Caenorhabditis elegans: one gene and its partners. The protein of the gene in region 3 interacts with the protein of the main gene of each other region in a pairwise test. Each region holds a gene or a part of one and is shown on either strand. Other genes may lie near its edges.

Region 1 (6,357 bases), on a different chromosome or scaffold from region 3:
AAATTTACAATTTAGACCCGAAAGATTTTAAAGATCTTCTCACCTGGGATTGAAAGGTCGAATAACGAAGCCCAAGACAACACCGAGCACGACAGATTCGATGGTAAGCACAAGAAGAAGATCCTTCTTCATGCCCATCTTGTCTGTGTTGTTCTTGACAACTCGACTGCCGACTCGCTTCGTTCAACTAACGAGAAGAGAGGGATTATGCAAACTATTCTAGTGCCGTCTGAAATTTGCATTCGGCTGACGCAGTTGACATTGAAATGTGGAAAATAAAATTGTCGAAAAACTACAATATTTTATTCTTCAACCGGGTGCTAATAAATACAATTTAAAGCTGACTTATATGTGTACCCATAGATTGATAACCAGTAAAATTAAACAACGATTCGAAAGCTAATCCTGTTTTTTGTTTGAATAACGACGTTTGGAGATCCAGTAGAGAATTGCTGGGATTGCAGTCAATGGAAAAGCGATGGCTCCGAATCCGAGGAAGTGTGTGCAATTGACTCCTTCCACTTTTCTCATGGCAGTTTCGGCGAAGAAATGAGCTTAAGTTTAAAATTTTGAATTAGTTCCGTTGTTTTCAAAACATACTGTATCCTCTCTTATCATACGAGACTGTAGAGGTTCGCGCACGTTTGCCAGTCTCGGAATCAGTATAGTTCACGGTAACATCGTGATCTTCGATGGCTTGAGGAACACGAGGAATGACAACAATGTGATGGTAGATGGTGGAATTCGCAGGAATGACGGGAAAACTTGCTGTTGCAGATCCTTTCAAAATCTCGAATCGGTCAGTTGGGAAAGATTTGAGATCAGACAGCTCGACCTGAAATAATCGACAATTTCTAACCAAAATTCGCGTTATCCGAAAGAAAGAAACTAATTTTTAAAGAAAATCTTTGCGACTTTTTGAAACATACCTTGAGAGCTGGAGAAAGGCCAATGTTGATAATCTGATATTCAAATGCGTTTTCTCTTTGTGCAACCGGATACTTGGTCACGAAGGATTTGCCGATAAGAATTTTCTGTAATTATACGATTTTAGCCAGATTTATAAATTTTATTTGATAAAGTTACCGCAGAAGCATCAGCAGCTGCAAGAGCAGAGAGAATCAGGAAAACCAGTTGCATGCTAGGCGCTTCACTGACAATAATGATTTGATAAATCTGTAGGAAGTTCTCTCAATAAACGCCTTGTTGGCAAATTAAGCTGGAAATACGTGGAAAACCGAGAAGAAACAAAAGACTGTACTACAAACGGAGGATGCAGAGAAAAGTGTATTTGAACTGCCTCGCAAAATGGCAATCGTGCCGAGACCCATCACTAAATTCAAACGAGCGTGCCTGCGAATCAAACTGGCCCGTTGCCAAAAAACGCCTCTTTCGAATTTCGCGCGTTCGGATTTACGTTCGTTTTCAGTTTTCCGGTTCAATTTATCCGTTTTACAACTAGTTTCCTCCAAAATAGTTAAACTTGATATCATGAAGCAAGCAGCGGTTAAATTATTTTTTCGTCATCTTTTACATAAACCGTTTTTAAAATTATAAACAAAAATAAACATTTTCAGGTAATTATTAAATGCAGATAACCTCGGCCTTAACCCAGAATAAGATGGATCCGATCAATGGTAATTTGACTTCCACCGCTCCGGTCGAGCCACTCTCATTGACAGCCGCTGAACGTGAGTCATGTCGCACTTAATAAGTGCTTACACACCTTTTCTTTCAATTCTTTCAATCCCGAATATTGCATTAAATTGATTTTATTTCAGAAGTCGGTGGAGCGTTCTGCCATCAGTTCTATATCACCGTCTCTGAGAACCGTAAAGCGATTACCAAGTTCTATGGACATGAATCGAAGTTCTATTTGGATGATCAGGTGGTCACTGGATCGCAGGTTGGCAACAAATATAAATTGACAAAAATACATTTCGTTAATATATTTTTAGGAGATTGTTAAGTTGTACAATCATCTACCAGAAACCACCCACTTCAAGATTCAATCTATCAAGGTAAACACGACGTTCTTCGATTTTCCTACAAATATATTTTTAAGGGATACCCAACCCCACACAAACAGGGAGTGATTATCAATGTTATCGGAACCGTTAACCTCCGTCCATTCCTTCAATCATTTTTGCTTGGGCAACAAGGGCAGAAAAAATACTATGTCGAATCAGACGCTTTTCAGTACATTGATAAGTTTTTCGTCGCGAATACGGAAAAGGAGAAGACTACTTCGTCGACTGGTCATAACGGACACGCCAGTGGAGCAAATGGAAAGGATTCCAAATCTTCCAAAACCGAGCAACCTAAGGAACAATCAAAGCCGGCTCCTCCAAAGCAGCAAACGCCAAAGAAAGCTGAAGATCGTATAGTGAAGCAAGACACTCCGAAATCTGTGGAAAAGGAGGTAGCGAAAACACCGCAGAAACCACAGCTTGCCCAACAGCCCCCACAGCAGAGAGCCCCAGTTCCTGAGCCTGTTCAAGAACAGCCAAAGGTTCAGAAAACGTGGGCTAATCTTGTGGGTGGAGGTGGAAAGTCTCAGCCCCCACAACAACAAAGTTATGGACAAGGACAGCGTGAGTTGAAAAAACGAAAGATGATCGGGCTAGTCTCAGATTATTTATTTTTCAGAAATCCATCAGCAAACACAAATGCACCACATGCAGCCTTCCATGCATCAGCAACAACAAGGATCGCATGCTCCTCTTTATCAGCAACAGAGACAGTCGCACCCAGCTAATGAATTGCGCCAAGCTCAGGAAAGTTCAGATGCCAACCTAAATGAGCGTAAGATCTATTTGGGAGGAATCACTCGAGAGATTGTCCCCAGCAACACAGCTCAGGCTGAATCGGAAATCAAGCAGGTGTTCTACAGTAAGCAAATTAATAGTCCCAATAGTTCACTAAATTTTCATTTTAAGAATATGGAGAAATCGAGGAGGTTCGCATGCCGCGCAAGGTTCTTGACAGTCCGAACGACACATCGAAACATGCCTTTGCATTTATTACCATGCGTAACAAGGCCGGAGTAAAAGCCATTTTCGAAGCGGCTACAAAGGATGAGCAAGGCGTGTGGAAGCTTCCACTCAAACTGGATGCATTCGGATTTGACGGACATGCTCAAATTAGTGAGCAACGTGATCAACCACAAGGCGGCGGATTCCGAGGAGGACGTGGAGGTTTCCAACCACGCGGTGGACAATTCTTCCGCCGTGGCGGTTCGGGTGGTGCTCCACGAGGTGGTATGCGCAGCGGTTTCCAAAATGCGGGACAAAATTAGAAGCTTTCCGTTCTCCTTTTTCCTTCTTGTAAGAATTGCACATCCATTAGATTCTGTACCTATCCTTCTCATTTTCCTATTTATTGTTTCTCCTTTCCTTCCTCACCGTTCTAATAATGATGATTTAAGTAAGAAGATTCTGGTATCTGAATTTTATGGCGTGTAGCGTTTTAGTAGATCTCTCAACAATCCAATCCAATCAGCCCGCATCCCATTTTCACATCCTATCTCCCCGGTTTTCGGTGATTGACGACCGTGATCCCATCTGAGTTTACTCTTTTCGAGTACAAGTTGCAATCAGACATCATCCCACCACCGAATATCCAAGTTGTATTTGAATGTTGTTTTAATATATTACCACTTTCCTTCTCCTTTTACAAGCCCCCGTTATTGTTTCCTTCATTGGTGTTCGGGAGTACTCTTTGTACTCAAGTTCTTACCCCCATTTTGGCACGTTGGAATTAAAATAAAGTTTTGTATCTAAATTATTCAAGTTTCTCAATTTGTTTTTTTTATATGTAGTGTGTCAAGTAACAGTGTATTGTACTTATTGTTGTGAGATTGTGTTTCTAACATTTCTAATGGATACAGCAAGACATGGATGATGACTACAATGTACTGCATTCTGGGTTTGCCGACGATGATGGGCAACTTGAATATCCGTAAGATCTTTATGTTGAGAAGCAGAAGTAGTTTTACATTCGCTGAATTTTAAGAGATGATGAGGATCAGCTAGCTGTAGTTCCGAATGGAGACTCTGAAAATCAAAGAATCAATGAAGTTAGGAATGCTCTCGAAGAAGTTGGATATGGTAAAAGAAAAAGACGCTTGAATGAAGTAGAAGACGTATTTGATCAATATGGAAGACGTTCACATCCAATGGGTCAGTCAAAAAGAAGGTTTTCCAATTAAATTATATATTTAGATTGGCATATGAGAATGGAAACAGTTTCCAGTGAAGTATTACAAAAGTCACAAGTAAATGCTGTTAAGAGAAGAGCCCTCGAAAGCTTGGAACAGAAAATCAACGAAGCAGCTGCTCAAGCTGAAAGAAAAATGAATGAAAATCATCATTCTAATGCTTTTGACGATTTTCAAAGCGGAGAGCAGACAATTTCTTCACTTTGTGAGCTAGAAATGGAACGGAGATATAGAAGACGACAGGTTATTACTTTTCCTTGAAAGATTATATTTTTATCATTGAATTCAGGAAATCATGCGAAATCCGGTAACTGATGGTTCACCTTGGATTGGTATCAGTGATGTCGTCAACGGGCAACGATTTTATATTCGAACTTTCCGTGATGATCGTCTTTCTGTTCCGTTAGTAGAATCGATTACCCAACAAGCAACCCGTTCGAGGGTCGGTTTTCGAGCTTTTCAGTCGATTTGTCAGGAATCCGAACGTCTTAGGTAATAGTTTCACTAGAAAATTGAATACTTTTATAGTTTTCAGCAAGTTGAAAGAAGAATCTCGCGTTAAAGAACAGGAAGCCGAGTTTTCACGCATGCTTAAAGAAACTGAAACACCGTCTGAATATGAAAATAATAAATCTCATCCAGAATCATCATTATGGGTGAACAAGTACGAAGCCAAAAATTTCTCAGATTTGCTCTCGGACAGTGTAAGGAATTACATTATTTTAAAAAAAGAAGTCACGATATTGCAGACTGTCAATCGAAATATTCTTACATGGCTGAAAATGTGGGACGAGTGTGTGTTCCATCAAAAAGTCGACGATTTACTAGCAAGCCTCGGTGAAAAAGAACGAGAAGTACTACACATGGATAATGGCAAAATTCGGCGTCCATCATCGAAAATGTTGCTTCTTTCTGGCCCGGCTGGTCTCGGTAAAAGTACACTAGCACGAATTGTCGCTCGTCAAGCAGGCTATTCAACAATTGATGTAAATGCAAGTGATGCTCGAACAGTCGCAGATTTAAATAAAGTACTAGAAGGAGCTGTAAAAACATCTCGAACACTTGATGCAGATCAACGGCCAGCATGCCTGATTCTTGATGAAATTGATGGAACACCAATTGATACTATTCGTCATTTGGTTCGGTGTATTCAAGCAACAGGCAAAAAAGCCATTCGGCGACCCATTATTGGAATTTGCAATAATTTGTAAGTTATTTTATGGCTTCAGTGACACAGAAAGAAAATATATAATAGGATATCGGGAACAGTTGCAAAAACATTTTCAACCAAAAACCAATTTTCTCCAAAAAACCGAAAAAAAAAACACTTTTGATTTTTCCATCATACCTACATTTTTGAAAGATAATCTTTTGTTTTTTAGTCCAAAAATCCATTTTTGCAAGAAACACCAACTAAAAACGACAGTCCTAATCGGGAACAAAGATGTCAGCGAAAATTTTGACGATTTTTTTCACTGAAAATCTAAAAATCGAAAAACGACAATTTTTCGAAGAAAAAAAATCAGTGAACCATAAAATTATTTTTTTTTTTTGAAATCAAATTCTGTTTTTGTTGATAAAAACACAAGAAAACATGAATAAAAATAAAATAGAATAAAAATGATCAAACTTTCAAGATATTTTTCGAAAAATCGAAAGAAATCAAAAACTAAAATTCTTGGTTTCAGATTTTGGTAAAAATCGGAACACAAACCCCCTTTATCGGGATAACTCAATGTATTCGTAAGATGTGTTTGATTTTCTAATTATTTGTTTTTAAAGGTATACGCCAGCATTGCGTGATTTACGAGGAGTCGCCTGGTGTGTGCAACTAGTCGCAACAAAACAAGATGTTTTAGCAAAACGACTGGAAGAAATTTGTGACCGAGAACGTCTTCGATGTGATTTGAGTACTTTGAGAAAGTTATGCGAATTGTGTGCAAATGATATGAGACATTCAATTAATACTCTTCAATGGGTAGCGGTGGCAGCACGAAAATCGAATCGAGCAATTGGAATGAAGTTGATCCATGAGGTATGACGCTGTATATTTTTTGATATTAATAGAAATCTGTTTTTTAGGTTATTGAGAAAGAGAAAGGCGGATCTGCTTCTATTTTCGAACATTGGTCGTCAAT
Region 2 (5,491 bases), on a different chromosome or scaffold from region 3:
GAAAAGATTGTTGTCGGAGGATTTGTCGGAAACTAATTTATTAAACTTATTATCGGTTTTATGATCTCTTCCCAAATAAAATTGTTATCATCTGTTATCATTTTGCCGGCAGAAGAATTTTCTTGAAGGAGAGAAAAAGTCTAAAAGTCACGAAAGTTAAACACATTGATATTAATGCGTAAAAAGCGATTAAATGCATATTATCGTTAGGTGTCAATGCAACTTAAAAAGTGCAAAAACATCTTCGTATGTTAATTTTCAGATTTAATTATTTTGAACAAATGATTTCTTTTTTTCAAATTACGTTGAGTTCAACAAGCCTTCCACGCGGGTAATATTGAATATATTCTATCCTATACCCTCTCAGATAAACTGGAGTCACGGCTGACTAGGGAACCGTCAGAAGCTGCCCATCGGACTTGCATATGAGACCAATGCCATTCGATAGTGCATGTCTTAAAACGGTTGCTCGTGAATTTTTAGCGGCAAAACTCCAGAACCAAGCTCACGGCGGGCTCTCAAAGATCTTAAAATAGCACTGTAAGGAAGAACTTTAACGATCTAACGAAGCAATTTTCGAATTTCACTTTGGTAGCTCATATCTCCGTAGATAAATTTTTTACAGAAAAGTCATCAACTAAAAAGTTGTTGATATTGTTGTAAAGAACAAGTTTGTAGTTGAAAGTTTTTTACCAAAAAATTTTTGTTTGCGAGAAAATCATTAGAAACGGAATAGCAGCATAAAAATAACAACACCAGTTGCCGCACTTCACGCACTTTTATCTCAAACAAAAATTTTGTGGTAAAAAACTTTTAATTACAAACTTGTTTGTTACAACAAAATCAACAACTTATCAGTTGATGACTTTTCTGTAAAAAATTTATCTACGGAGATATGAGCTACCAAAGTGAAATTGGAAAATTGCTTCGTTAGATCGTTAAAGTTCTTCCTTACAGTGCTATTTTAAGATCTTTGAGAGCCCGCCGTGAGCTTGGTTCGGGAGTTTTGCCGCTAAAAATTCACGAGTAACTGTTTTAAGACATGGGCTATCGAATGGCATAGGTCTCATATGCAAGTCCGATGGGCACCTTCTGACCGTTCCCTAGTGAGGGACAGGAAATCACTGCCAATTAGCATTTATGCCACGGCTATTTTAACTTTTTAAATGTTTACTTTTCAAAATTATATTTATAGAAACGATTTCCACAAAAATCTTCAGAAATAAAGTGAAATCGTCATGCGAAAAGACACAATTAAAATTTTACTGATCATTCATTTTAATTTCTGGTATATATCTGGTATGTTATATGGTATATTTCAGTATTTTTTAAAATAAAATTTTAATAAAGCTAGGATTGTTTATTGAAATAATACAAATAGGTAAGAGATCACAACATAAATATTTTAGACTCCAATGACTCCTCCAACAACAATCTTTTTGTTGTTGCTGCTGATGTCCTCTTGAGTGAAAAAATCAGTGTTTTTCGATGAAGCAGCAGCTGGGATTCCAACAACGTAAACATCACGATTGACGGTCAAAGAGCAGACAGACTCAACTTGAGCAAATTGCTTAACAGAAGCCTTCTTGAAAGATCCGAATGCACGGAAGTCATCGAAAGTAGCTGGAGTCTCTCCAGTAACACCACCTCCAAGAACATGCCAATACCAGAGAAGAACATCAGAGCTCAAAGTTGCCCAGTTTCCAGTAATTTGGCTCCAGTCGTATTGGTTGGTGTAGATTCCGACAGTCAGTCCGTATTGCTTGGCTCGTGAAATAATGCTGTTGAGGAAGTTCACATTAGTAGTTGCAGACTTCTGCCAGTTGGCTGGGGAGGTAACCTGAAAGAGTTCAAGTGTATAGACTATAATCGTCGAGAATTAAATTTCTTATCAGTTGAAAATTGAAAAATAATCTCCGGAAAGAAGATTTTAATGTTTAAGTGTACATTGTTTCCAGTTTTTCACATATGACATTTTAACTAATTTAACTTTTAATTGTTCAAGGTTTTTTATATTTCTTGTATATAGCTAACCTGAATCCAGACAGATCTGATGGTGATTCCATTTCCGTTAAGTCCGTTATAAAGAGCATCAAGTTGTTGGTATCCTTGAAGAGAAGAAAGTGGTTGTGGAGTCATGTAGACCTCAATTCCCAATCCAGCAGAATAAGCATTTCTGATAGAAGTGACTGAAGTTGTGTCGAATGCTCCAGATCCAAATGGAGTGAAACCTCTGATGAAAACAGCTGCATATCTGGATGTCTTGAGGCAGTTCATTTGAGAAACTGTTGTTGGAACAGAAATATCAACTGCGTAGGCATATGAAGCATCATTGTTCACAACTTCCGGAGCTGGCTCGGCCTTGATCTTCTCGAAACCAATATCAGTCACTTCGAAGTTGTCCTGTGGAAGAGCTACAACTCTATTAGAGTCGACATCTTGTGGTCTAGCAGAAGCCAAAGCAAAAAGGAAAGTAACGAAAGCAAGCTTGAGCATGGTTCTGAAACAAAAAACAGAAAATAATATTGACTTGAAGAAAAGTGCCAACGAAAAGGTTGAGAGAATGAAAATCTAATGATTCGGTGATGGATGGCGGCTCGTTTAAGTAGAAGAAAACGTCCAGTGATAAGGGTAATCAGTGGAGATAGAAAAGTGACGAGTAGGGTGAAAGAGATTCATTCGGGGGCGTTAGTAATATTAAATGTCAAGACTATATTAATTGGAAACTGGAAAGTTGATGATAAAATTAAGTACTCTTTTTAAATAATTTCTACCAAAATTAGTTATGCGATTAGTCAAAAAAAGAAGCATTCTTCATTTAAAACAAAATTTCTTTCCGCGACCAATTTGGGCAGGGAATTTTAAAGCGGTTGGAACTGAAGGTTTCTGATAAAATACTTCTACAAATGTGAATATGACTCATGCGATTCTGTCAATAGAATACTAGCACGCTATGACATATATCACTAGTCGCTAACGGCTATTGCTGATAGTTTCTTAGATGAGTCACTAAATTTATTTACATCCCACTTTTCACATGTTATTCTGTTGGTTTTGACGAACATTCTATCATGAGTTGACGAAGAACTACATATTTTCAATACATGGTCAGACAACGTTAGCCATATTGCCGACAATTTGAGAATCAAAGGTTGATTTATATTTGAAGTTTAGATTTATCTTTTCATGATATTCCGAATAAAAAACAACGATAGATCTTTGTGTTTTATTTATTAGATATTCTCATTTTCTTTCTTTTACTTCATGGAAATATCATTTCCAGGCTGGCTGCTTCATCTTTAATGTCGGTTTCGGATTAACGTCTAGCAATCTACGAAGAGGATCTTTCACTTCCAAATATCAAAACCCATGTGACAACTTCAACAATTGCCCAATTTTTCCACATTCCAAATTCATTGTCCATTTTTTTCCGTTTCAATAAAATATTTGGTCACCCTTGTGCTCTTCACCATCCATATTCCTTCATTGTCACAATTCGAAAAGCTCCAAAAATTCGAAAACGAAGAGTAGAAGGATGTGGTCGCCTCTCGACAACAATTGACGGACTCTTCCCGTTTGCCACTTCACCAAACTTTCCTTTTTTCTATTCTTTTCTTCGTTTTTTTTCCTTTTCTCCGCTTATTTTCTGGAACCGACATCTCGTCAGTTATGCTCCGGTGCCTGGCCAATCACAAGACAAACCCAGAAAAAATAGAAGCTCGTTCGCATCCAAATGAGTTTTCCTGCGAAGAAAATTAAAAGAAGAAAAACGTAAGGTGGCCTGTTAGGGTTAAAATAGCTGAGCGGAGGGAATTCCTAGATAAAAAAGAAGAAAACGTAATTCACTTGAATATTTATCGGTGACTATCTTGAGGTTTCTAGTTAGAAATGAAGATCAAGAATCAGAGATTTTCGGTACCTTACTTTTCCCAGTTTTAGGAATAATGAAGATCTTTTTAACTGGATCAGCAATTTTTTATAGATGTTTTATAAATTACAGAAGACAAAGCAAATATTGGCATTAAAAAACAAATAAACTGCTATAAAAACATTGCACAACATTAAACCCTTTCAAATACACCTCTCAACAGAAAATAATCAAAAAATACTGAGATCAAACATTCATTCGCTTTCCTAGGATTTTGTGCTCTCAAAATGAAAATCCAGCTGCATTCTCAAAACTCGAAAATATATGAATTGCACTTACTAGGCAGATGGATTTGGTGAGAGTTTCAATAATCGATCTTTTACAAATGATAACGTGCATATATTTTTGAAATCAGTATTATAGCCTTCAGAATGCGCAAAAAACCTATAAAGGTTCACATTGAAGGTGACCATGCCGGTTCGAGGCGAGATTAAGTGACTTTTGTGACTTTTATACGCTCAAAATTCTAGTATTGTAGGTCGCTTCAGAAAATGTATGCCCTTTCGTAACAATTAAAACCTAATGAACTGTACATCTCTTTTCTTAACCCATGTCCACCTATTTTGCTCTGTTGGTATGTCATCAACGATGCGAAAAAACGCATTCATAATAACGAGCGGTCGACATCCGGCGCAGAGCACTCGTGTATTATTTCCGGGGCATTCGTCCGTTTTTGTCCGTTGCTCTCTTTCTTCTTCGTCTTCTTTTTTCTTCTTCCACGAAAACTCTTCTCAGCATCGCCTTTTCTCTGTGTTTTATGTGTCCGATGGTTTCCCGTCCCGTTTTTTACGAGTTCTCCTTTTCCTTCTTTCTTTCCATTGATCGTCCCATTCGTCTTTTACTTTTTTGTTGCTCTTCTTATTTTTTGTTCTGAAAAGAATCCGCAAATGTCTTCTCCATGAGTATGCACAGAGAACGTCTGAAAATGTATTTTGCCAGAAGAAGAAGATAGATAAAATGAACATTTTGAACTTTAGAATTGGGATTCTCAGTTTCAGCCAACTAACCGGCACAAGGAGCAAGTGGCTCTGGGGAAATTTTATTTTCGATACACTGAACATATATCAAAAATAATCCTAAATAATGTTTATTCTATTATGTCAAATTTTATATTTGAAGCTCAGTTTGCAACGGTACCACTTGCCTTAATTTTTGATCCATGTTCCAAAACATTAATATTTTAAATAAAGTTGTCTTATCCCACTATGTATAAGTTCATTAGCTAAAAAAAATCACCAGTTATGCAGTTTCCGAAACTACAATCATCATTAAGATTGCTAGTATAAAACTCCCTGTGGAAGAATTTTCATCAAGTACGGAATGTTTTTTTTCTATCCCATAGTAAAATTGAAAATTTGGCATTCTGTACCCACTTTTTAGAAACACTTGATCATTTAGTAAAATAATCTTATATAAGATCAGGCGGCAATTGCCGAACGGCAGCGCGGCAATTGACGAACGGCAATTCTACAAAATGAGATGGTTGGGCATGTTCCCCCGATATTTTTCATTAAAATTTGATGATACAATATAGAAAAATATTTGCTTTATTTGAAAATAATT
Region 3 (6,324 bases):
GAACATATGATTTTTAAACCAAAATTTTATAATTTTCAAAAAAAAATTATTTATATTTAAAAAACTAGATAAGTAAATGGAGTTACAAACAATATGTGCCTATTGCCCTCCAGAAATGGTTGGTTGGCTATATTTACGGCCAGGTGTTATCGATTCATTATAGATTTGTTTTTGCCCACTTTTTAGTCAGACACTCTAGTTTGCATTCCTGACTAATTGTTTCATTTTACAAAAAAAAAAAACTCTAAAAAATTCTTATTTTACCACACCACTTAAGAAAAATATTTAAAACACTGAATTTTTCAATTTCCGACTCGGAAATTTTTTTAATCTGAATTTTTTTTTCATCCACTAAAACAGTGAAAAAAAAAACCATCACGGGATTTTTCCAAAAAAAAAAATTCCAAAAAACTTCCAGAATACTTGTCTACCTCGAAACAGCTTAAAAATCATAGTAATTTTTGAAAAATTATCATTTGCGGCAATTTAACGGGCCTCTAAAGTAGTGAAAAAAAGCAATTTCAGAGCGACTTTTATTCTGTTCAAAGTGCTCCTCTGCCGCTAAAAGTTTTGTGGGGGCCTAGAAAATAATGATGCGCTTTTATGAAATAAACTTTAATTACAGAATGTGAAGGAAATAAATGTAGAAAAAACAACTAACCAAATGATCGAGAGGGACCTGGGCTCCAGTATGTGAGTCCTGAACCCACTCCTCCACAAACTCCTTTTCCTTATTACCACTGTCCATCCTAGCACGTCATACTATGGCAAAATATGAAACTGAGCCTCACAAGGTCTCTGCCCATCGGCGATTTCCCCCTATTCAAAACCCATTTCTTCTCACTTTTCATGTTGTATTTGCCTCCCAAACAATTAGTTGTTGTAGCTGTCATTGAATGACCTGCGGGTGCCTGTGAGCACCGGTTTTCAGGCAGACAGGATTGTATTCTATTAGTGAGTAGACGAAAAGGAAGAAACAACGTCTGATTACGTAGGCAACGACCAAGCATCGATACATTATTCAAGGATCAGAAAATCAAGCTCAATTGTTTTGGAAATTTTTAAACATCACTTTTTGAAACTGTCTACCTCTTGGACTACACGTTGAGGTGCCAAAAATTAATTTCGGAAAAAAATCACAATAGCTAAAACCTAAATTTGGCTTTTTTTTCTCAGAAAGTTGATAAACATATTATGTGTGAAACTTCTTTCAAATATTATATTTGAATCAGGGATGGGCGGCAAACGATTTTTTCCGGCAAATTGCTAAATTGCCGGAATTGAAATTTTTGGCAAATCGGCAAACTAGCAAATTGCCGGAATTGAAAATTTTCAGCAAACCAGTCAACCGGCAATTTACCGATTTTCCGAATTTGTCGACAAAAAAACTTCCGAACGGCAATTGCCGCCCGCCCCTAATTTGAAAAGTTTTTGTATAATACGGTTCGACAGCCGTACACATTTTTTGTTGTGTAGCTCTCAAATACACGCTGTGATTTGAGAATCCATGCATCTGATCTTTTGCAGAGTCTTCCTATCGAAAAGAGCAAATTTCTCAGTACCCCTTGATCTTTTGTAGAACTGCTCATTCACAGCATCTAATCCCCCCACACGTCTTAACATAATTAGCATTCCTACATTAGCTACTACATGTGTTGATTATTTGTCTAACAAGATAGAGATAGTGTATACATACTTCCGCTCTCATAAAGACCGGTCATTTTCCGTGCTCATTCTCACTCTCGCAATGTTCTTCCCACACCCTTGATCCTAAGGAAACATGCTCCTCAAGAATAATCTCTTGAAAAGCGTGAGCGATTGTGGTAACAAAAAATCATGAGTATCAATGAAAACAATTCAACGGAATTTGGATTTGGGTGGGTGTGAAGGCGCTGTAAAAAAATGTAATATGAATTTAAGACCTCTATCTGCAAAAAGGTACAATGTAATTTTACAAAGTATTCAAGGTTTCCCTTGAAATAATTTTATAAAAACATTCGTACTAAATATCGAAAACTGCACCAAAACTATTTGCCGAGTGGATTTATCAGTTTCCCGCAATATTGGCAAGACTATCAGGTTATATGATATGATATTAGTATGAGTGCACCTCCACAAGAGTAAAGATGCAATGACTAAGATCAAAAAATTCCATTCCGCTTTGAGCACAAAAAAGATTCAGCGCTGGTAAACTAGTTCTCACCAAGTTTAGAACATCAAACAATTGACGCAATTTGTAGGTCATAGACTGGCAGGTTTTTGATGTTTTACATGACAAGTTTGAGAATAATGAAAGCAATCTTCATACATTTTAATAACTTTTTAAAGAGTTTTTAACTGATATCTTCCTAGAGCAACAAAAACAGCTTATATTTGCAAACATAACCATTTAAAGTTGAAAATGATACTTTTGCCATTGGGTTTTGAATTTGTCAAAATCTTGTTATTAATTTATTTTACTCATGTAGTTTCTAGAAAACATGTCATTCGTCCTGAAACCCCATGGAGCATACGTTATTGTCCTGTCAGAATGTTATTACGTAATATATTACTCATGACATTTACACCATATACAAAAATCTATTTATTTGCAAATATGTTCCATGATTATTTTCTGAGCAACAACAATTATATCATAGTCTAGACTTCACAGGGATAATTAATGTTGTTGGGAAGAAAAGTAAGAACTTTAGAAATGGTGATTGACCGAGTGAACTCTCAAATATCTATTTTTGTCTTTGTAATAACTCTATGAGTAATGAGGAATGAGGAACTGAATTTGTGACTGCAAATTAATCAGAAAGATTATTTAAAGAAGAAAGATATTTTGCTGTAGTTTGTGATGGCTGCTGAAAGACCACCGGAAGACTTTTGACATCGACCAAGTCCTGAAAGATCACGTCCCTCCAGTTCTTCAACTGTAACCCTTGTGAATACTAGAAAGTAAAAAACAAAAAAATAACAACATGTCAACATAACAACACGCCCTCCCCCTCTTGCTCTGCTCTTCCAAACACATGAGCACACACACACACAGGCACACGCAAAAAATTTGGAGACGCATCACTCGAAGAAACCGGAATTTGGGACAGAGGTGGTAGTAGAGGAGAGGGGGCGATGTTTAACTGATTGCAACGGGAAGATATATAAGCAAGAGCATGTATTGGGACAATCATCACTCACTCTGACAAGCTTGAAATGAACACCAAATTTTCAATTCTCTTTTCGCTTTTGGCGGTTTCAGCACTTGCGGTGGCTGCTGAGGAGAATGTGGTATGTATTATTTTTATGAATCTAATTATAAATATTTCATTTGTTCCCCTTTTCTAACTCTTATATTATAAATACTTATTTTTTAATTTTAAAACATTTCGTGCTCACTCACAAGCAATTGCATAACTTGAATATGAATTAAGTAAAATATAGGAACTTCTTAATATATGTTTCAAATAGTTTATCGTTTGACTTCATTATTTTACTACTGAAAATTTAGCAACAGGGGAGTATTTTGAGCTGCAAAAAAGTCGTTCTGAAAAGTTTTCAATGAATTTTTCACAACTTTCGAACTATCGAGGGCAGTAAAAATGTGCCAAGTGTGAATTTTTGCTGACTTTCAAGAGCTTCTAGCATGTTTAGGAGCTGGCTAACAATCGTAAATTTTTTTGGAATTTTTAATTTTTTGAAAAAATCTGAAATTTTTTCACTCAAGGGGTTTTTCTGATTTTCAATTTTACGGGCTTCTAAAGTAATAAAAAAAATACACTAATAGCAACTTCAGATCGAAATTTTTCTAGTTCTAAGTTCTCCTCTGCCGCTTAATTTTTTTTGCAAGGGCCTATTTAGAAGGTTTTTTGCAAATGAGATATTATCCAGAAGACTAAAAAATTAAGTTGAAAAATTAAGTCGTTCCTTTTTCAGTTCCTCCGCGCTCGTCGCCAATCTTCATGTGGATGCGCCATTCCAGCTGCTCCACAATGCAACTGCCAACCAGCTCAAACCAACACCGCCCAACAATCTTGCTCCTGCGCTCAAGCTCAACAGCCATCAAGCTGCGGATGCGCTCAACAGTATCAGCAACAACAGTGTGCACCAACTTGTCAGAGCTCCTGTGAACAGAGCTGTGTTGCCCAGCAACAGGTTAGTCAAACCAAATTCAACCCAGTTAGCCATTTCATATTATTTAAGCCAATCGCCCAGTGCCAATCATCTTGCTCTTCCACTTGCCAGTCCGCATGCGCTCAGCCAGTTCAGCTTCAGCAGCCAGCTCAGCAACAGTGCCAACAAGATTGTCAAGCTGCTTGCCCACAACAACAACAACCACAGCAACAGTGCCAGCAGCAATGCCAGACGACATGTCAATCCGATGATCAGTACTCTCAACAATTGATCCAACAGCAAACCTACGCTCAGCCAGGACAAATCCCAGCCTACACCGGAAGATCCGAGTACAATACTGCCCCACCACAACAGCAACAAGCCAGTCAATGCAATACCTGCCAAAACTCGTGCCTTAACACATGCCAGCAGCAACAGCAGCCAGTGCAACAGTGCCAATCATCATGTGATCAATCGTGCCAGCCACAATGTGCCACGCCATCTGGCTCCGCTTACAACCAAGTCAACTACCAGCCACAGGCCCAGAACAACTACCAAACCAACAACAACTACCAACAGCCAGGAGCCATTCCATCATACCAAGGAGCTTCCCAGACTGCTGCACCAACCTACCAGCCATACAGAGACACCAATGTTCAGGTAACATATTAATAGTATTACTTCTAAATCTAGATTTAAAGAAATCCAACCTAAATTTGTAGGTCGGAGGAACCATCTCCCAGTGCAACACTTGCCAAACCCAGTGCAACCAGGAATGCCAAGTCCAGCAGACCCCAGTGAACCAGTGCGCTCCACAATGCGACGCTCAATGCCAGCCAGCCTGCTCCCCAGCTGCTCCAGCAGCTCCAGTTCAAACGCAACAACAAATTCAGCTTACCATCAATGTTCCAGTTGCTCGTCAGTCCCCACAGTGTCAGCCACAATGTGAGCAAAGCTGCAACACCCAATGCATTCAGCAACAGCAACCAATCTCGCAGTGTCAGCCAGCTTGTCAGCAGAGTTGTTCGGCTTCCTGCAGAAAGTAAATTAACTTTAATTATTAATTTTTGGGAAAAAATAACTTTGTGATGGTTTTTTGTGTATATTTTGATAAATAAATTGTTTTCTACATATGTTCATCTCCTGCATCATACATCTTCACTAAATATTTTATCATTATTATTCCCTCTTGGGATGATAATTACAGAGAAATTTCTAGAATAGAAAAATTTATGAATCATTCAGTCATGTAAATTTTAGCTTTCAATCTCTATAATCTGCGGAACATCTATCTTCTTTTTTTTCTTTTCCACTCAATTTCTGAAACTGAAGTTTTACCACAAAAGCTAAACCCACCAATTACGTGTTATATTTGAAAAGCGGTAAGAAACTTAAAATAATGAACGGTCATCAAGGGTGTTACCTGCGTCAATAAGGGTTTTCGGTGTTTAATTCCAGTCTTTTGGGAATATTAGTTGTTATAGATTTTGACACAAAAAACCTCCACGCAATAATAATTAAACATTTCGTACATAAATCCTGCGTGTGAAACTTTTTGAAAAATTTTATTAGACAAAATGTTTTATTCATATCATATCTCAATTTAAATATCTCGAAAATCGTCGTTGGTTTCCACATCGAGGCCTCTGACACTGTTCATGGTCCTTGAACAGCATTTTTATATTGCATGTGAAATGAACAGCCGTCTGAGATTTTAGAAGTGATATTTTCCACACGATTCTTAAAGGTAGAGTAGCGTCAGTGGGGAGAGTGTTAAAAACTACTCATTTTATAGCAAAATGACCAAATACCATAATAAAACTTTTCAAAAATTTTTAAAGAATTTTTTGTTTACTGTCAAAAAGTGGCAATTACTCAGTTTTTTCATTTGCCACTCATAGTTTTGAAAGTCGACCAAAATTTGTTTCCTACATTCTTTATACTGTAATTTTGTCTTGGTTATTCGTCTTGAAACATTATAGAACGTCGGAAGATGCGACATTGCCTTAGATTTCCTCAAAATCTTTTTTTTTTTTGAATAGGGAAATTTGCCAAAACTTTGACCGGAAATTATGAAAATCTAAAATTTGTTGAGTGTTTTATTATGATATTCGGTGGTTTTGGGTTATTATAACTGTAGACAAAATTCCCACTGGTGCTATTCCACTTTTAACTTACCGTGTCCACATCCAATGCGAACGCGTGAACCTTAATTCCAGCTGATAAATC
Region 4 (5,512 bases), on a different chromosome or scaffold from region 3:
TGCCTGAAACCAAACACTTGTTTTCAAAATTCTGAATTTTCATCTCACTGGATCGTCATGATTGGCACACGTGAGATCCGCTTTCCAGGCCACTCCCTCTGAGAAGAAGACATGTTCGTCCATTTGGAGCAGAATCCATTGTGTAAGTCTATCATGAATTTTCGTTGTCGGATTTTTGAACCCGATGAATAACGCTGCTAAAATGAGGGCCTGGGGAGAAGCTCGATGAACGTCTTCGAGATCCAAATTGAGTAAACTATATGGCCAAATGTTCTGACTGAAAACCAATTAAAATTTTTAGAGCCATCAAACTAAGATACTTACTTTCCATTTTTATGTACTTTGATTCCGTCGAAGCTACTCTCGAAGTGCATCCACATTTCATTATCTGCCATTTCGCTGAGTAGCTTTTTTTTAAAGATACCCTTATTTATTGGACTGGAGCTATTATATCCTTCCAAAATAGTTGTTTTAGTCTTCATCATGATATTCGCAAAACTATTCAATATAACTTCGAGCCATTTCTTGAGATCTCCGAAAATTAGTTGGCATTTCTCTTGCATATCTTCACATTTGCATCTGTAATGATATATTTCAGAAATTTAGTTTTATAATAAACCTACAGTTCGATATTCTGCGCACATAAATTACATACTTCTACAAGTGTTAGATGAGAGTCATTCAGTAGCAATTTTCTGAGAATGCTATCTTGTGAAACATTGTGAAAATGTAGATATCTCAAAATGGCTGCTTTCGAGTTGGTAGTAGTGATGAGGAAAAAAGTTGTTCTCAGATTTTGATCGCTCAGAGAACGACACAGTTGACTTCGCTCGTCGCATAGAGAAGAATCGCGTTGAGTGTCCAAATAAAATGACTCATCGGTTTCAGCTTCTTGATCGATCTCGTAATTTCCCACTTCATCGACCGGATAACGAATTTCCCCGTCTTCATCAATGAATCCTGTTGTTTCTTCGTCTTCGAGTTCATCTTCTACACCATCTTCCTTTTGTCGTTCTTCATCTGCAGTTGTTTCCGTCTCGAAGTTATCGGCCTGGGTGCTTGAATTTGATGGACCATTGCTTCCCGGCTGGTGAGAACCATGATTATTGTCCGTCGGGTCTGAAAGTAGTTATTTAGTCCCAATAAAATCATTTAAAAAATTTACCTAGAGCAACTATTGTCACGCTTTGAATCAGAAGACTCCGGGGTGCTGAATTCAAAATTCTTCGAACTGTTGTTCTTGGATTTCTGGCCATAATCCTCCGTTTCTAGCCGGGAATGATACAAATCTTTGAAAAACACACTGGAATTAACAATTAACACATATTGATAACATATCACACAAAAAATACAATAAAAAAGGTCAAAAAAATGAAATATGTGAAATACGACGAAGAAAAAACAAAATAAAATCAATAATCAATGTTCTGCTAGTTAGCAGTGGGTTTCTGCTAATTAGCAGTGCTTTTTAGCTAATTAGCAATGACCTGCTAATTAGCAGTGGTTCTCTGCTGATAAACTATGGCTTTACTAGCTTTTGCTGATTAGAAGTGATTTTCTGTCGCTCTGCCGTGACTCCAGTTTATCTGAGTTTAAAAAAACATTTTTAAAAATTGTCTAATTTTGAAACGTTATTTTGAAAAACTTGATATTTTGGTAATTAATGATGAATTCGCGATTTTATCAGTAAATGCGTAAATATACGGCAAAAAAATAATCTAAAAACTGTGAAAAGCTCGGCAAAAAGTAGGGTTGATTCCAAAAGAAAACATTTTTTTTCCGAAAGAAATTAAAACATTTTTTGCCAAAAACACGAAAAAGCTTTGTGTAATTTTAAAAATTGTGTAATTTTGAAACGTTATTTTGAAAAACTTAATATTTTGGAAAATTGTACACCTTCTCATAATTTTTTAAAAGTTGAATTTTAGTGATTTTCAGCAAAAAAAAAACGGAAAAATTGTATTTTTTGCCAAAAAAACCAGAAAACACAGAATACACAAACTAAAAAATGTATGTGCGATTTTCAAAAACTGAAAACATGCCAGAAAAACAAAAATAGCCAAAAAATCCATTTTTACCCAATAAAAATTCCCATTACCTGACCCAAAAAATAATCCATTAAAATTTCAGGTCGGAATCCGCAGAAAGCGTCTGAAAGGTGACGCGTTCATGTACAAGAAGGTGTGCGAGAAGATTCTTCAAATGGCGAAAATCGAATAATTCCTATTATAAATATTCTTGTTTTCCTTTTTCTTAAATTTTCCCCCTAATTTTCGCCCAAATTCTCGTCTTCCTGGGTTTTTGTGTGTGTGTGTAGAATATCAATCCCGTTATCATTATTCTTATTATTATTATTCTTATTTTCTATTGTTCCAAGTTGTTTTCGAAACTGTTTTTTTCGAATTTTTCCCAATCGTGTAATATTTTTTGAATATTCCTCTCTCCTCTCTACTAATCCCTCGAATTTAAGTTTTTGTTTCGTATGCTCTTCTTATCCAATGATACCCCGCCTTTTTTTGGTATGAATGATCAAGATCTCTTTCAAAAGTTGTTTTCCCGCCAGCCACAAATAATCCTTTCCCCCCCCCCCCCAAAAAAAAACACGTGCTTTCTCCACTACACTAGTGAGGTTGCGCAAGTGTTCAGCGCCAAAAACTCTAACTCGTATTTGCTCTAGCCGTCTTACTCTCACAGTGACTCCACCCATTTTGCCGCTGATCTCACGAAAAACAAGTGGCCGAGTATAAAAAGCGAGAGCGGATGCAGTTATTTTGTCATATTGAGTCGCTACTGATGGCTCACGGACATCATCATCACCACCGCCGCGAGCGCCCGGGGCGCGAAGTTTATTTCAAACTTACTGCTAAAGATTCGAAACAGGCTCATCTATTCTCTATCAAGTATGAGAAGGTCGCCGGATTGCTCGAGAAGCTCAAGAAGAAGCTCGCCGAGTTCAAGGTCGACTTTGCCAACATTTTCTGGATCGATCGGGAGAAGGATCAGATTTTCCTGCAGACAGCCGAGGATCTGAAGGAGGCGATCAAGTTCTCGAGGTTTGTGGTGAAGCTGTACGCTGAGGGAACTGGTGAGAAGGATCTGAAGGGTCTGAAGAAGGATCTGAAGAGCGAAGACGATGAGGATGATCGTCGCAGCAGCAGCTCCTCATTCTCGAAGGTGTCTCATGGAAGATCGGAATCCGAGTCGTCTTCGTCAGGATCGGAAAGCAGCGATGACGAAAATGATCGCAAGAAGAAAGGTGAGCGTTCTGGAAGTTCCTCTTCTTCTTCTGGATCTTCCCGATCTCCATCTCGTGGAAGACGTGGAGGACGTGGTGGCCGCTCAGGATCCAGCTCGTCATCATCATCTTCTGAATCACGATCTCCCGGAAGACATGAGGAGCCCGAGAAGCAAGGAAAGAAAGAAGAGTTGAAGCAGCTGAAGAAGCAAAAGTCCGAAGGTGTTGAGCATCGTGGAAGATCGGGGTCACCGGGAGGACGTCGTGGACACGGTGGACGCCATGGATCCCGTTCTGGATCTCCAGGAGGTCGTCATGGTCATGGAGGCCACGGAGGACATGGATCACGCTCCGGATCTCCAGGTGGTCGTCATGGTCACGGAGGCTCAGGGCATCATCGTGGAGGTCGTCATGGAGGCCACGGAAGGCATGGATCGTGCTCCGGATCTCCACGAGGTCGTCATGGTCATGGAGGCCACGGAGGACATGGATCACGCTCCGGATCTCCAGGTGGTCGTCATGGTCACGGAGGCTCAGGGCATCATCGTGGAGGTCGTCATGGAGGCCACGGAAGGCATGGATCCCGCTCCGGATCTCCAGGAGGTCGTCATGGTCACGGAGGACGCCACGGCCCACCACATTGTCCAGGACGCCATGGAAGACATGGATCCCGTTCCCACTCTCCTAGAGGACACGGGCACGGAGGACGTCACGGGCCACCACACTGCCCAGGGCGTCATGGACACCACGGACCACCACACCATCATCACCATGATGGACGTTCTCCATCTCGTCACGGCCACCACCACCATCATCATCATGGATGCCGTCCATTCCCACCGCATCATGGACATCATCACTTTCCACCATTCTGGCCACCATGCCCACCACCACCACCATTCTGGCCTCCACATCGTCGTGGCGGTCACTGCCATCACCATCATCATAATGGACATCGTTCGTTCTCCCCATAAACTCTTAATTCTGATGCTTATTATACTGTGCATAATGTATATTTATTTGTGATCAATAAAGTTGTAAATAAATAAATAAAAAAATCGTGTTATGTTTTTTGTTTTTTTTTCAGATTTTCAGGTGAAATAAAAAAAAGAGAACATTGATTCTTCCAGGAAGGCAATTGCCTAGGCAACTGAACAAACATGAGTTCCTTTCCGTCTGTTTTTTTCCAATTTCCACCAGACTCCTAGGCTTCCCCAAAAGGCCAACTGATCGCTTCCAAAAGGCGAAGACATCTCGACCACTTTCTGTTGATCGACGAACAATTTGAGAGAGAGAGAGAGAGAGAGAGAGGAATTGACACAATGAGTGTGTAGTTTGCTTTTGTTTGAGACACGCAGAGTTTGTAGTATTCGGTGTGGTTTATGCTTTAGAGGTTGCAAAATATGAAATCGGAGTAATGGAAAATTGAAATATGACGAATTGACTAAAGTGAAGTTGGATGTTGGTTGCTATTTATTAGTAACAAATTTCGATATGAAGATGTTAATTTAGTGGCAGTGTTATATAAATTTCAGTCTACTTCGTAGGTTCAAAATTGTTTGCATGTGTACCTAGCAGACAAACATCGGTCAAACGTACTTGTAATAATGCTGTAATACTGGTGTTCCAAGGCTTTTTTCGACAGAAAAAATGTTTTCTGAAAATGTTCGAAACCATTAAAAAATTGAAAAAGGACACTTTTTAGTGTTCGGAAATCAATTTTGAGTCTTCTAACAACAAAATTAACCATTTTAGAGGAGTTTCAAAATTGTGAATTTTAACAACATAAATAGCCCAATTTTGGTACCTTTTAATAGTTTTTGATGGGTTAAACCAAGATTTTCTGAATTCAGCATACCTGAATTACCAGTTTTCAACAAATTTAGACAACTTTTTATTTATTTTTTCCTTTTTTTTTTCAGCCATCCTTTTTTTTGGTCAAAAATTGTTTTTCTGAAACTCTTCGAAACCAATATTCTGAAAAAGAACAATTTTTAGTGTTGTTGAGTGAATTTTTAGGGAATTTTGTAGAAAAAAACTGAAAAAAACTTTTAAACAAATTTGACCGTGGTAGAGTTGAACTGTAATTTGGATGCTAACTCAAAAACGAAATGATTTTTAAAAACTATGCATATGAAAATTTAAAGCCGAAGTTTCTCAATCTACTAATATTGTTAAACTTACCATCATTTTTATCAGATTTTTATGGTGCAGTAAAACATTTGTAACAAGCTTTTGAACATCGGACTTCTATTCCAATTACTTGTTTGAGCTTCG

What was found.
Region 1: the proteins of abu-11 (region 3) and gtbp-1 interact in a two-hybrid assay, tested with the Caenorhabditis elegans proteins (one large-scale study listed by BioGRID).
Region 2: the proteins of abu-11 (region 3) and lys-1 interact in a two-hybrid assay, tested with the Caenorhabditis elegans proteins (one large-scale study listed by BioGRID).
Region 4: the proteins of abu-11 (region 3) and W03G1.5 interact in a two-hybrid assay, tested with the Caenorhabditis elegans proteins (one large-scale study listed by BioGRID).

Annotation. Positions count from the first base shown.
Region 1 is NC_003282.8:10,124,177-10,130,533, reverse strand, and holds gtbp-1 (Ras GTPase-activating protein-binding protein gtbp-1), read left to right. Parts: upstream 1-1,577; 5' UTR 1,578-1,588; coding exon 1,589-1,691; intron 1,692-1,781; coding exon 1,782-1,906; intron 1,907-1,958; coding exon 1,959-2,021; intron 2,022-2,065; coding exon 2,066-2,594; intron 2,595-2,649; coding exon 2,650-2,892; intron 2,893-2,939; coding exon 2,940-3,298; 3' UTR 3,299-3,785; downstream 3,786-6,357. Other genes in the region: Putative sodium-dependent excitatory amino acid transporter glt-3, read right to left, coding at 44-138; K08F4.3 (Translocon-associated protein subunit beta), read right to left, coding at 400-554, 601-835, 930-1,034, 1,087-1,140; ctf-18 (AAA+ ATPase domain-containing protein), read left to right, coding at 3,896-3,960, 4,015-4,181, 4,224-4,462, 4,509-4,711, 4,755-4,923, 4,969-5,426, 6,002-6,254, 6,302-6,357.
Region 2 is NC_003283.11:10,274,913-10,280,403, reverse strand, and holds lys-1 (Lysozyme-like protein 1), read right to left. Parts: upstream 2,501-5,491; 5' UTR 2,497-2,500; coding exon 2,035-2,496; intron 1,841-2,034; coding exon 1,406-1,840; 3' UTR 1,348-1,405; downstream 1-1,347. Other genes in the region: lys-2 (Lysozyme-like protein 2), read left to right, coding at 1-36; Y22F5A.11 (uncharacterized protein), read left to right, coding at 4,827-4,855, 4,906-5,002.
Region 3 is NC_003280.10:191,409-197,732, reverse strand, and holds abu-11 (Activated in Blocked Unfolded protein response), read left to right. Parts: upstream 1-3,174; 5' UTR 3,175-3,198; coding exon 3,199-3,273; intron 3,274-3,918; coding exon 3,919-4,137; intron 4,138-4,185; coding exon 4,186-4,755; intron 4,756-4,817; coding exon 4,818-5,141; 3' UTR 5,142-5,224; downstream 5,225-6,324. Other genes in the region: chs-2 (chitin synthase), read right to left, coding at 662-748; T01D1.8 (ZP domain-containing protein), read right to left, coding at 5,694-5,801, 6,274-6,324.
Region 4 is NC_003282.8:503,766-509,277, reverse strand, and holds W03G1.5 (PB1 domain-containing protein), read left to right. Parts: upstream 1-2,793; coding exon 2,794-4,209; downstream 4,210-5,512. Other genes in the region: pig-1 (Maternal embryonic leucine zipper kinase), read left to right, coding at 2,131-2,220.